2 linked regions of the Callithrix jacchus genome follow. The protein of the gene in region 1 binds, or shares a complex with, the protein of each later gene. Links are inferred from orthologs where the notes say so. Each region holds a gene or a part of one and is shown in the gene's direction. Other genes may lie near its edges.

What was found.
Region 2: the proteins of ITGB1 (region 1) and FERMT2 are in contact, whole or in part, in a crystal structure (PDB 8TEE), measured with the Mus musculus proteins. The link is inferred for Callithrix jacchus from reciprocal best matches to the Homo sapiens genes ITGB1 and FERMT2. Residues at the interface, in NP_034708.1 of Mus musculus: Ala786, Val787, Thr788, Thr789, Val790, Val791, Asn792, Pro793, Tyr795, Glu796, Gly797; in NP_666166.2 of Mus musculus: Phe609, Ser610, Asn611, Met612, Lys613, Gln614, Trp615, Asn616, Val617, Asn618, Trp619, Glu620, Ala629, Asp630, His647, Ile654, Ser657, Thr658, Lys674, Leu675, Ser677, Gly678.

The regions. Positions count from the first base shown.
Region 1 is NC_133508.1:32,597,870-32,603,273, reverse strand, and holds part of ITGB1 (integrin beta-1), read left to right. Parts: intron 1-533; coding exon 534-700; intron 701-1,903; coding exon 1,904-1,978; 3' UTR 1,979-1,984; intron 1,985-5,404.
Region 2 is NC_133509.1:87,561,510-87,567,556, reverse strand, and holds the start of FERMT2 (fermitin family homolog 2), read left to right. Parts: upstream 1-2,444; 5' UTR 2,445-2,618; exon of another isoform or gene 2,619-2,644; intron 2,645-6,047. UniProt on the Homo sapiens protein: Scaffolding protein that enhances integrin activation mediated by TLN1 and/or TLN2, but activates integrins only weakly by itself. Binds to membranes enriched in phosphoinositides.

The DNA.
Region 1 (5,404 bases):
TTTTAGAATTGGTTTGCTAATTGCTACAGAAGTTCTGCCGGGAATTTGGGTGGGATATCGTTGAGTTTATAGATCCAGTTCAGAAGAATTGACATCTTGACAGTATTAGATTTTGTAATTCATGCACATGGAATATCCCTCCATTTCTTCAGTCTTAAAGATTTCTTTTTATCAGTGTGTAGCAATTGTTAACATGCAGATCTTGCATATATTTTGTTAGACTTATATGTAAGTTTTTCATGCTTCTTCATTTTGTAATAAATGATACTGTTTAAAAATTTCTATTTTCAATATGTAGAAATACATTATATATGTAGAAAAATACATGATTTTTGTTCATTGATCATGTGACCTCCTAAACTCACTTGTTCCAAAAGCTACTTTATGGAGTCTTTGGGATAGCGTGCATTCACTGTCTTGTGTGTTTATTTCTGTATGTTTTTTATAAGATACTGCGCAGCTCTTTGTGGTTGTCGCTGGACTCTGCATGTGTTTGTCCCTTGTGTGCTCCTTACTACCTTCTTATTTTCCAGAGTGTCCTACAGGTCCAGATATCATTCCAATTGTAGCTGGTGTGGTTGCTGGAATTGTTCTTATTGGCCTTGCATTACTGCTGATATGGAAGCTTTTAATGATAATTCATGACCGAAGGGAATTTGCTAAATTTGAAAAGGAGAAAATGAATGCCAAATGGGACACGGTAAGTTACAAAACATCCAAAAACCAATGTGGCTTATAAATCAAATGTAATACTCCTAAGACTTACTTATTAACTGTCAGGCTGATTATTAAATTCCTTTAAATATTTTAGTCCCCCAAAAGTTTCTCATTCAAAGAATTTGCGTTTAATGAAAAACAGGAAGCATCCTAAATATATCTCATTGAAACAAAACATTGATTATAAACACGTATATTCTAGTTACTGTGGCCGGTATTTTTATTTCTTTAATAGTTTTGATCCTAAATCTGCCTTTTCATCTAATGTGAAATAGAATCCTAAATAATGTTACCTGTGTAGCAAGCTATTCAATGGAAAGCTGCTTCTTTCTTTAAAAAAACAAACAAAAAAAGACAAAGAACCTTCAGTGAAAGCCAGATTCAAAAGGTTATATGCCAAGCTTGTCCAACTCGCAGCTCGTGGGTCACATGAAGCCCAGGACAGCTTTGAATGTGGCCCCAACACAAATTTGTAAAGTTTCTTAGAAATTGTAAGATTTTTTTTTTTTGGTGACTTTTTTTTTTTTAAGCTCATCAGCTATCATTAGTATATTTTATGTGTGACCCAAGACAATGATTATTCTTCCAAGGTGGCCCAGGGAAGCCAAAAGATTGGACACCCCTGCTATATACTATGTGATTTCATTTAAGGGACATTCTGGAAAAGCAAAACTATATGGGCAAAAATCAGTTGTTGCTAGGGGCTGGAATGAGGAAAAGGGTTCACCGCAAAGGGCCATAAGGAAACTTCCTGGGATGATCTTGATTTTGGATGTATTTATGTATTTGAAAACTCATGGAACTATGTACTTTAAAAAGGTATATGTTCCTCTATGAAAATTATATCTCAGTAAACCTTGGCTTATAAAAATTTTAAAAGCCCTAAGTGACTGAAAGTTTATGTTAGCATTTAGTGCTTTGAAATATGGAGTCAGTTTCAGCCTCTGTGTATTCATATTTTGATACAAGAAAGCATTGGCAATCTTTAGTTTTTTTAAGTTGTAAATGAATTGTAGTTACTTGCACTTAACTACAGTTTGCTGGAATTTTTTTAAATTATCAATTTTTAAAATTATAAATTTCACAAGGGTAGAAATAGAAAAAAATTCCCTTTATAGTGTTTGAACACTATAAATGTCTATTTTTTTTCTGATGAAATCATTAGAAACTATTTCTTTTACTTTAGCAAGAAAATCCGATATACAAGAGTCCTATTAATAATTTCAAGAATCCAAACTACGGACGTAAAACTGGTCTCTAAATTGCCGTTCGTATTTTCTTTCACTTTCTGCCTTTGCATGTGAACATTTACTTTTTTACTGCACTGTGTGCCCTTTATCACTATTGCTTTTCTTTTAAGTCTGGCTTTATTTATATCGCTATTGCGGCTTTTCTTTTTGTGTGTTAACTTCGTTTTTAGAAAGACTAAAATAAGTAATGTGGTATAGAAACAGCAGCTGTGTTGTAGTGAGAAGAGAATGTGATTTGCAATCAGACCTCAGGTCAAACCCCAGCTCTTCCACTTAGTAAGTAGAACAGCATTGAGCCACTTCACTTCTCTCATCTATCAAAGGGAGTCAGTATTCTGTATTGTATGGGGCAATTGTATTTGGCAAATGCACTCCAGTATATGAAATCAGCTTGTGAGCTCTAATCCTCACAACAATTCTATGCCTAGAATGATAGTATCCTTTTTTCTTTTTCTGTTTTTGGTTTTGTTTTGTTTTTTTGAGACAGAGTCTTGCTCTTTCACCCAGCCCGGGGTACAGTGTTATGATCTCCCCTCACTGCAACCTCTGCTTTCCAGATGCCAGTGATTCTCCTGCCTCAGCCTCCCAAGTATCTGGGATTACTGGTGCCTGCCATCATGCTCAGTTAGTTTTTATATTTTTAGTAGAGACGGGGTTTCACAATGTTGGCCAGGTTGGCCTAGAACTCCTGACCTCCAGTGATCTGCCTGCCTTGGCCTCCCAAAGTGCTGGAATTACAGGTGTGAGCCACTGTGCCCCCACCAGTATTATCCTTAAATAACAAATTGTTAGAGTAAACTTAGGGTTGGGTAGTGAAAACTGATCATGGACTCCAAATTGCAAAATAGAAAATTAAATGTAAGTTGTGTGGTATGCAACTACAATATCATTATTATTGTTTCTCAGAAGATTTGAGATTAATTTATTGAATATAACTTTAAATTTCATTAAAAGCTGGAAGACCATATTATATATATATATCTTTGTATATTATATATATGTCTGTGTCTGTGTGTGTATGTGAGAATGATTCTAATTTTCAAGTGTAAGTTTGAAACTGTTCCTGTCTGAATTTTCATGAAATGCTTCCATCGTATTTCAATATAATCATGCAAGCTCCTAAAACTCAGTGATAACCAAGGTTAATTGTGATTAGAACTAAATTCTCTTGACTGGTGATCGGGAACTCTTCTTCTCTTTCCCAGTTGACTGACTGTAATAGGGCCTGGAAGATTTCCAATTTTCTCACTGCCTACCTTATTTTGCAGATAAAGACGGTGTTGGTAACACTTACATAGAACTCATTGTGTCTCAGGCATGATTGTAAACACTTAATCTATATTTAATCTTCATAGTGAAAGTTGAAGGAATGATGTTTATACCTGTTTTTTTACATATGAGGAAACTGAGACACATAAGGGTTATATAACTTGACCAAATTCACATGGCTAGTTAGTCAGAGAGCTGGGATTTGAACCCAGGCGATTGGGCTCCAGAGTTCATGTTCTTGTCTATGATATTCTACTTGGTAGCAGTTACGTATCTTCAGAAGTCCCTGTTACCTGGTTAGGAAGAGGTAGATCAGTCTTCTTTAGAGATTTACAGAGTTTTGACAATTTGTTGTTCCTCTGTCGGAGTTAACACCACCTCTGTTGGCAAACATCTTAGTAGGGCAGTCACTTGAATACATGGAACCCAATGCCGCAGTTATGCTTATTGACTGTTGGGAGTGTGCTTACAAACGGATCATGAAAAAGAGCCTAAGTACAGGAATGTTTAATAGTTATAAGTGATATAGGAAGTACTGATAATATTAGAAATCATTAACTTGTCAGATTTTTATTTCTAAGTAGACCATAAGACTTTTTAAAGTTAAATTTGATGGCAGAAAATTATATTCAGATTCACATATGGGCAGGGTTGGAGCATATTTGTATTAGTGTGTGATGACATGTTTTTCTTGTTCTCACTTAATACTTTACAGAAAGTCATTTTTAGAGGAAAACTGATTAGTCAATGACATTGCCAGGCTTTTTTTTTTTCTTTTATATTATTTTCTTTAGTTGTAGGAAAAAAAAAATAGTCAAATATTGACAATTTCATGTGGTTATTTTTCACGGGAGAAAAAAATTTCTTTCAGACAGAGAGGTGAAATTTTCACCCTTTCCGTACCTTTAATTGCATTTTGAAGGCCGGGCGCGGTGGCTCACGCCTATAATCCCAGCACTTTGGGAGGCCGAGGCAGGTGGATCACGAGGTCAAGAGATTGAGACCATCCTGGTCAACAAGGTGAAACCCCATCTCTACTAAAAATAAAAAAATTAGCTGGGCATGGTGGTGCATGCCTGTAGTCCCAGCTACTGGGAGGCTGAGGCAGGAGAATTGCTTGAACCCAGGAGGCAGAGGTTGTGGTGAGCCGAGATCGTTGCATCGCACTCCAGTCTGGGTAACAACAGCGAAACTTCGTCTCAAAAAAAAAAAAATAAATTGTATTTTGAAGGAAATTATCAGTAAATGTTATTTAAACTTAATGCTTATAATGTATATATGGCTAAAATGTTGTTAAAAGAAGCATTTAATGTAATTCAAGAAGCAAAAGTTTGGTAAAAATTTCTTTGCATTATTGAAGTCCAGGCAATATGATTATTTTTGAGATATTTTCTCAAGAAAAAGTAGAACTTAACTAAGTAAAATTGAAATAAATTAATAAGCATCAAGAAATTATATCATAGATTGTAAAAAAAATTTCTGATATGGACCAAGGTTTGCCCGTCAATTATGTCACCAATATTTTTGAAATATTTCGCAGGCACTAATTACTTTGGCATAAGTAGGAGCGGTAAAAAGAACGTGTCACATTCTCAGCTTCTAACTATTGGAGTGGGTTAAAAAAATTGTCCTCATCTGCTGCTATGCAGGTTTAAATGTGGATCCGAAATCTCCCACAGTTCTGCATTACATATCTAATACATTATAGAAGCTATTGCAGAGTGAGCACAAAGACAACATTTTACTGAGCACTGAGGGCTTCCTTTCGTAATGTAACCCTGTTCTCTTGATTCGGGTTTTGTTGGGGTTGGGTGGTGTTGCACTCTGAATGATGGAAACTAATCTGAATTATTTTAGTTTACCTCCATTTAAAATGATGCCTAATGCAGATAGTGAGCTTAATTTTACATCTAACCTTGCATGTTAAACTTTTGTTTGGATGGACTTTGAAGTAATAAATACAAATGTTTGTGTATATGACAAGATAGATTTTTCTCCAAAGGTAAGTTCTTCCATGTAAATTACACTTTGGACTCAGCTGGGTAGGGCTTTCTTTCTTTCATTATTATTATTATTATTTTGTTCTTCCCTTATAATTCTTGAGTTTTAAATACTAGATTTAGCAAACACATTATTTTAAAGAAACTTAATTAGATAATAATTTATTT
Region 2 (6,047 bases), on another chromosome or scaffold:
TGTTTCAAAGCACTTCAACATTGAACATCCAACACTGAGACATATCATGACCTACCTATTGAAACTCAAAAATAAAGAATTCTTCAGGCATTCAGACAAATAATAACACATTATATGCAGGGGACAGGCTAACCTCAGAACTTAATGGCAGAAGACAGTGGAGCAATGGCTAACGGAGTGTAACCCAAGGATCTTAGCCAAATAAATTCCGGCACTTGGAAAAGTGGGCTTTCCCAAACAAGAAAAAAATCAGGAAACACAGCAGCCGTGAGCCTGTCTCAGAAAAACTACTTGATATCCTGGCAATTAAAGGAAGACTTTGAGGGAAAAAAATAAAGGAGCAGAAGCCTTATAAAAGGTTTTGGTGGGCCAGGTGTGGTGGCTCATGTATGTAAGCCCAGCACTTTGGGAGGCCAAAACAGGTGGATCACGAGGTCAGGAGTTCAAGGCCAGCCTGGACAAGATAGTGAAACCCCATCTCTACTAAAACTACAAAAATAAACCAGGCTTGGTGGCGGGTGCCTATAATCCCAGCTACTCGGGAGGCTGAGGCAGGAGAATCACTTGAACTCAGGGAGCAGAGGTTGCAGTGAGCTGAGATCATGCCACTACACACCAGCCCAGGCAACAGAGCAAGATTCCATCTCAAAAAAATAAATAAATAAAGGTTTTGGTGAACACCAAATAAATTTAAATATAGATCAATCAAAAACTGTTGGACTATCACTGAAGACAATGTTAGTGTTATAAACTTATCAAAATAAAAAATTATATGGCAGTTGAGGAGAGGGGAATGTGAGGAGAGGGGTGGTATAATAATCCTCATTTTCTGTAGAGGTCAGTCAATGTATAAAATTGAAATGTGTGGTTCACAAAAAAAAAACACCATTACTTGCAAAATTTCTTAATTTTACAAAGAAATTTAAAGAGCTAATATTATACGGAAAAAAAAATTTACTTGAAATCTAGCCTGTGTAACAAACCTGCACGTTCTGCACATGTATCCCAGAACTCAAAGTAAAATGAAAATAAAATTAAAAATAAACCTAGTAATTTTTTCCACTTCAATTTTGCTTTCTATTTAGTCCAAGTTGTTTTCTTCTATGAAATCCAAGTAAAACTATATTGAATATTGTTTGATAGCAAAAGAGCCTTAACATGTGATGATGTTGTACCCATGGAGTTAGAGAAATGTAAGTGAATATGAAATATTGTTGACCCCCCCCATGGACATTTATTTCATTGTTTTCATATCTATTAAGCCATTAGCTTCAAATTATGCCTTACATGGGTACATATGTTTGCTAAAACTCATCACATTATACACCAAAAATGGGTAGGCTTTTTTTGGCATATATACTAATTTACTTTATTAAATCTTCCTAATGTTCTTTAAGGGACAAGCCAGATGAGTAGGCTACAGTGAAGAAATTTTATTTGGGAGAGTTAAGAAACCACTATGATACTTCCAACTATTATCTTCAGTGATGCTTCTTTTCTTTATGCAAGGACTCCAAGTAATATTCAGCTTCTACAGCTACCACAAATGCAGCAAATCCCCATTTGAATCCTTCTAATAGTGCACCAAGAAAGGAAACATTGTTTGCAAAGCCACCCGTGTATCTCCAAGCTTCAGTGCAGCCTCATAGATCCCTTAGCCCGCTTGCAGCCAGTTTCTTCCGGACAGTTTCTAATGGTGTCCCTTCTATCTTCCATTGTTTATAATCTGGAAATTCCATTTTACTATGTCCATGTTCAGGTCCAGGTGCCATGTCTGACGGCTATCTGACCTCTCAAGACACTCAACTTTGCAAACGGAGCCGATCCGGGCGTGTTTTATTATATGTAAGTTTACATCGATAAAGTTTACTTATAAGGTTTTTAAAATTATGCCCCATTGGAGTCTTTATAGAGGATCAGGAACGAAGTGAAGGTGAGCGAGCACAGCCTACCCTCCCCCATCTCCATTGAATTAACCTGGGCAGCTAGACGCTAATTTGTTTTACCGAAAGACCTTCAACATAGAGTCTCGTCACTTTAAGAGGCAGGGAAGAACGTAGCTGTTGTGAGTAGATGTTGATTGACCTGAATATAAACATAAATTGTATACAGCTGAAGACGGTGAGGAGGTGGAACGAACTGACAAATCATTCCAGTGACTTAAAGGTAAACTGACACTTGAGACAAACAGTACTTCTAGATGACACCCCCATTTCTGCTTTCCAGAGTGGCTTTAACCCAGTCCTTCATGGACAGATGGAGATGGTCTCCAGATGGGGTGCGGTGCTTCTGGGTCTGTGAATGGAGCCTCTTGGGGCTGGAACAACCCCCAGCTGACTCAGCCTCCACGGAGGCGTCCCCTAGCTCTGCTCCAGTTACAAGCAAGCCCAAGAGAGGGAGGGGCTGGCTGGGGTCCTTCCGGCACAAAGCCGTTTCAATTTTCCACCTCAAGGCTGCAACGTTTTGGCAGCTACAGGGCCTCTTTCTCCTCCCTTTCAACTCGCCTGGCTCTTTGAGCCACAGGAGAGACCCAAAGCCCTGAAGAACATCCCGGAATGCAAAGCATTTGCAGTGAGTCACAGCTGCAGAGGTGCCAGCAAGAGCTGTTCCAGACTTAAGTAAGAGAGGGAAGCGGGGAGGAAAGGTCAGTGGCCTCAGCTGCAGAGTTATGTCAAAAGCTGGTCCCAGGAAAGAAGCAGTAGCACTGGCTGGAACAAGGAAGGAAAACAGTGAGAATATAGCTGCGTGGGGACCTAGTGGTTCCCTCTGAAGCTTCCCCACCTGCTTTGCATGGGGCTGTCAGCTCTACTAGCTGCATTCTCTAAATTCTAAAAATTCTCACAGGGATAAAAACTTTCTGGATGGTAGAGGATTGTAAGTTGGCATTTGGAAAATGATCCCTGACAGCCTTCTAACCAACAATCATAAAGGGCTGAGCCCACTGAGCTTTGCAACACACTATTTTAAGATGTACTTTAAAACGGCAGTGGGTGTTCTCTCCTTTTGCGCCCACAGAGGGGCATTCACTGGCTCTTTCTTGCCTAAAAAGCACGCCCTTTTAAGTCCTGGAGAGAGCCCTTGGGTGTCAAAACATTACTTCCTTTTCATTTTTGTATTAACAATTGTGAATAGAGGATATATTCGTAATATTCACCGAAAATATTCAAAAAACTATAAAAGAAAAACTGTCTAACTTCTGTTTTTCCAGCCACCTAGTTCTTCCTGGAAGCAAGTTTCTTGTGTATTTTCCCAGAAATATTCTTTGCATGTGTAAGCATGTCTGGTGTATGTAATCATTTTTGTACAAATAGCCTTACACAATATTCTCGTCTTTGTTTTTCTAAACCATGTCAGTGCAAACAGAACTGCCTTGTTTATTTGTTCATTTTCACTAGACATTTAAAGAATACCCTGTTCATATACGTGTTGGTTATTTTCCATCTTTTCCTATTACAGTCTGTACTTCAGTGACAATCTTTTAAAAGATATCATGTGTAGGTAAAATTTCTAGAGGTGGGATTTCTATGTCAAATTTGGATATTTTGATAGATATTTTGTCAAACTGACCTTCATAGAGACTGTACCAATTTATACTCACAGGTATGAGGGTACCTATTTCTGGCCTAGTGTGGTGGCTCACACCTGTAATCCCAGCACTTTGGGAGGCTGAGGTGGGGAGGATCACCTGAGGTCAGGTTCAAGTCCAGCCTGATCAACATAGCAAAACCCCATCTCTACTAATAATACAAAAAAAAAAATTAGCTGGGTGTGATGGCACATACCTGTAGTCCCAGCTACTCTGGAGGCTGAGGCAGGAGAATCGCTTCATCCAGGGAGGTGGAGGATGCAGTGAGCCAAGATTGCACTACTGCACTACAGCCTGGGTGACAGAGTGAAACTGTGCTTCAAAAAAAAAGAAGAAAAAGAGAGGGCCTGTTTCCCCTCCCTTAGCACAGAATATTCCAACTTTTTTTACCCATCCCAATTGAAGGGTTAAAAAAAAGTTACCTTATCATAATTTTAATTTGGTTTCATCTTTATCAAATGTTGAGCATCTTTGCCTATGTTTGAGAGCCACATGCGTGTTCTGCTCTGTGAACCACGTTCTCTGCCTGCTTTCTGTCTCATTGCTGTTTGTTCTGACTTGTTGAACTCTGCGTATCAGGGAAAATCATGTTTTGTCAATGTACATGTAGGAAGGTTTCTTTCCAGTTTCTTTTTTCTTCCTTCCATACTTACAGCATTGGTTTTATACAGAATTCTTTTTTTTCTTATTTATTTATTTATTTTTTAAACTGCATTTTAGGTTTTGGGGTACATGTGCAGAACATGCAAGATAGTTGCATAGGTACACATGTGGCAGTGTGATTTGCTGCCTTCCTCGCCTTCACCTATATCTGGCATTTCTCTTCATGCTATCTCTCCTCAACTCCCCACCCCCTGCTGTTCCTCCCCTATTCCTCCCAACAGACCCCAGTGTGTAGTGCCCCCCTCCCTGCATCCATGTGTTCTCATTGTTCAACACCCACCTATGAGTGAGAACATGCGGTGTTTGATTTTCTGTTCTTGTGTCAGTTTGCTGAGAATGATGGTCTCCAGATTCATCCATGTCCCTACAAAGAACACGAACTCATCGTTTTTGACTGCTGCATAATATTCCATGGTATATATGTGCCACATTTTCCCTGTCCAGTCTATCATCGATGGGCATTTGGGTTGGTTCCAGGTCTTTGCTATTGTAAACAGTGCTGCAATGAACATTCGTGTGCATGTGTCCTTATAGTAGAATGATTTATAATCCTCTGGATCTATACCCAGTAATGGGATTGCTGGGTCAAATGGAATTTCTATTCCTAGGTCCTTAAGGAATCTCCACACTGTCTTCCATAATGGTTAAACTAATTTACACTCCCACCAGCAGTGTAAAAGTGTTCCAATTTCTCCACATCCTCTCCAGCATCTGTTGTCTCCAGATTTTTTAATGACCGCCATTCTAACTGGCATGAGATGGTATCTCAATGTAGTTTTGATTTGCAGAATTCTTTTTAGTTTCATGTTGTTGAATTTACCTTTTCATTCTTGGCCTCTATAAAGTTTGTCATTTCGATAGTATTTCCCTTGAAATTGTGAAAAAATTTCCCAATATATTCTACATAAAGATGATTTTGTGTTCAGCATTTATATCTGTGATCTAGCCAGAATTTATTACAGTGGTGAGATGAGTAGGGCTCTATTAATATATTTGTCCAGCTGGTTCTCCAGTAGATTCAACCCCATTTATTGGGCCAGGAATTCAGGCACAGGGTAGCAGGATCCTCTGTTTTAGAGTCTTTGACAAAACTGCAATGACAGTGTCACCCAAACCTGGGGCTTCTTTGAAGGCTCAACTGGAGGAGGACTTGCCTTTAAGTTCACATGGCTGTTGGCAGGATTCCGTTCAGTGTTGCTTGTCAGGTGGAGGGGTTCAGCTTCTTCCTCGCCTTCTCCCAGGGGGCACCATAAGTTTCTTGCCACATGGGCCTCTCCACATTGGCAGCTTACTTCATCGAAGCCAGCAGGAGTGAAATCAATTGAGTCTACTGGCAAGATGGAAGTTACCGTCTACCTAAAGTAATTGCAAAAGTGACATTCCATCTCCTATACCATATTCTATTGGTAGAAGCAAGTCACAAGTTCCGCTCCCACTCAAGGGGAGGAGATTATACAAGGTGAGAATGCTAGGAGGTGAGTATGTCAGTCTACTTTCGCACTGCTGTAAAGAACTTCCCTGAGACTGGGTAATTTATAAAGGAAAGAGGTTTAATTGACTCACAGTTCCCATGATTCAATCACCTTCCACCAGTTCTTTCCCTTAACACCGGTGGATTACAATTCGAGATGATATTTGGAGGGGGACACAGAGTCTAACCATATCAGTGGGGCTTACTGGGGGCTGTGTAGCCTGTCTGCCATAGTCTACACTCTGGCCCCCAATGATCCATCTTCTTCTCATGTGCAAAATACGTCTACCTCATCTCAAGTCCTCCAAAAGTCTCATTTCATTACAA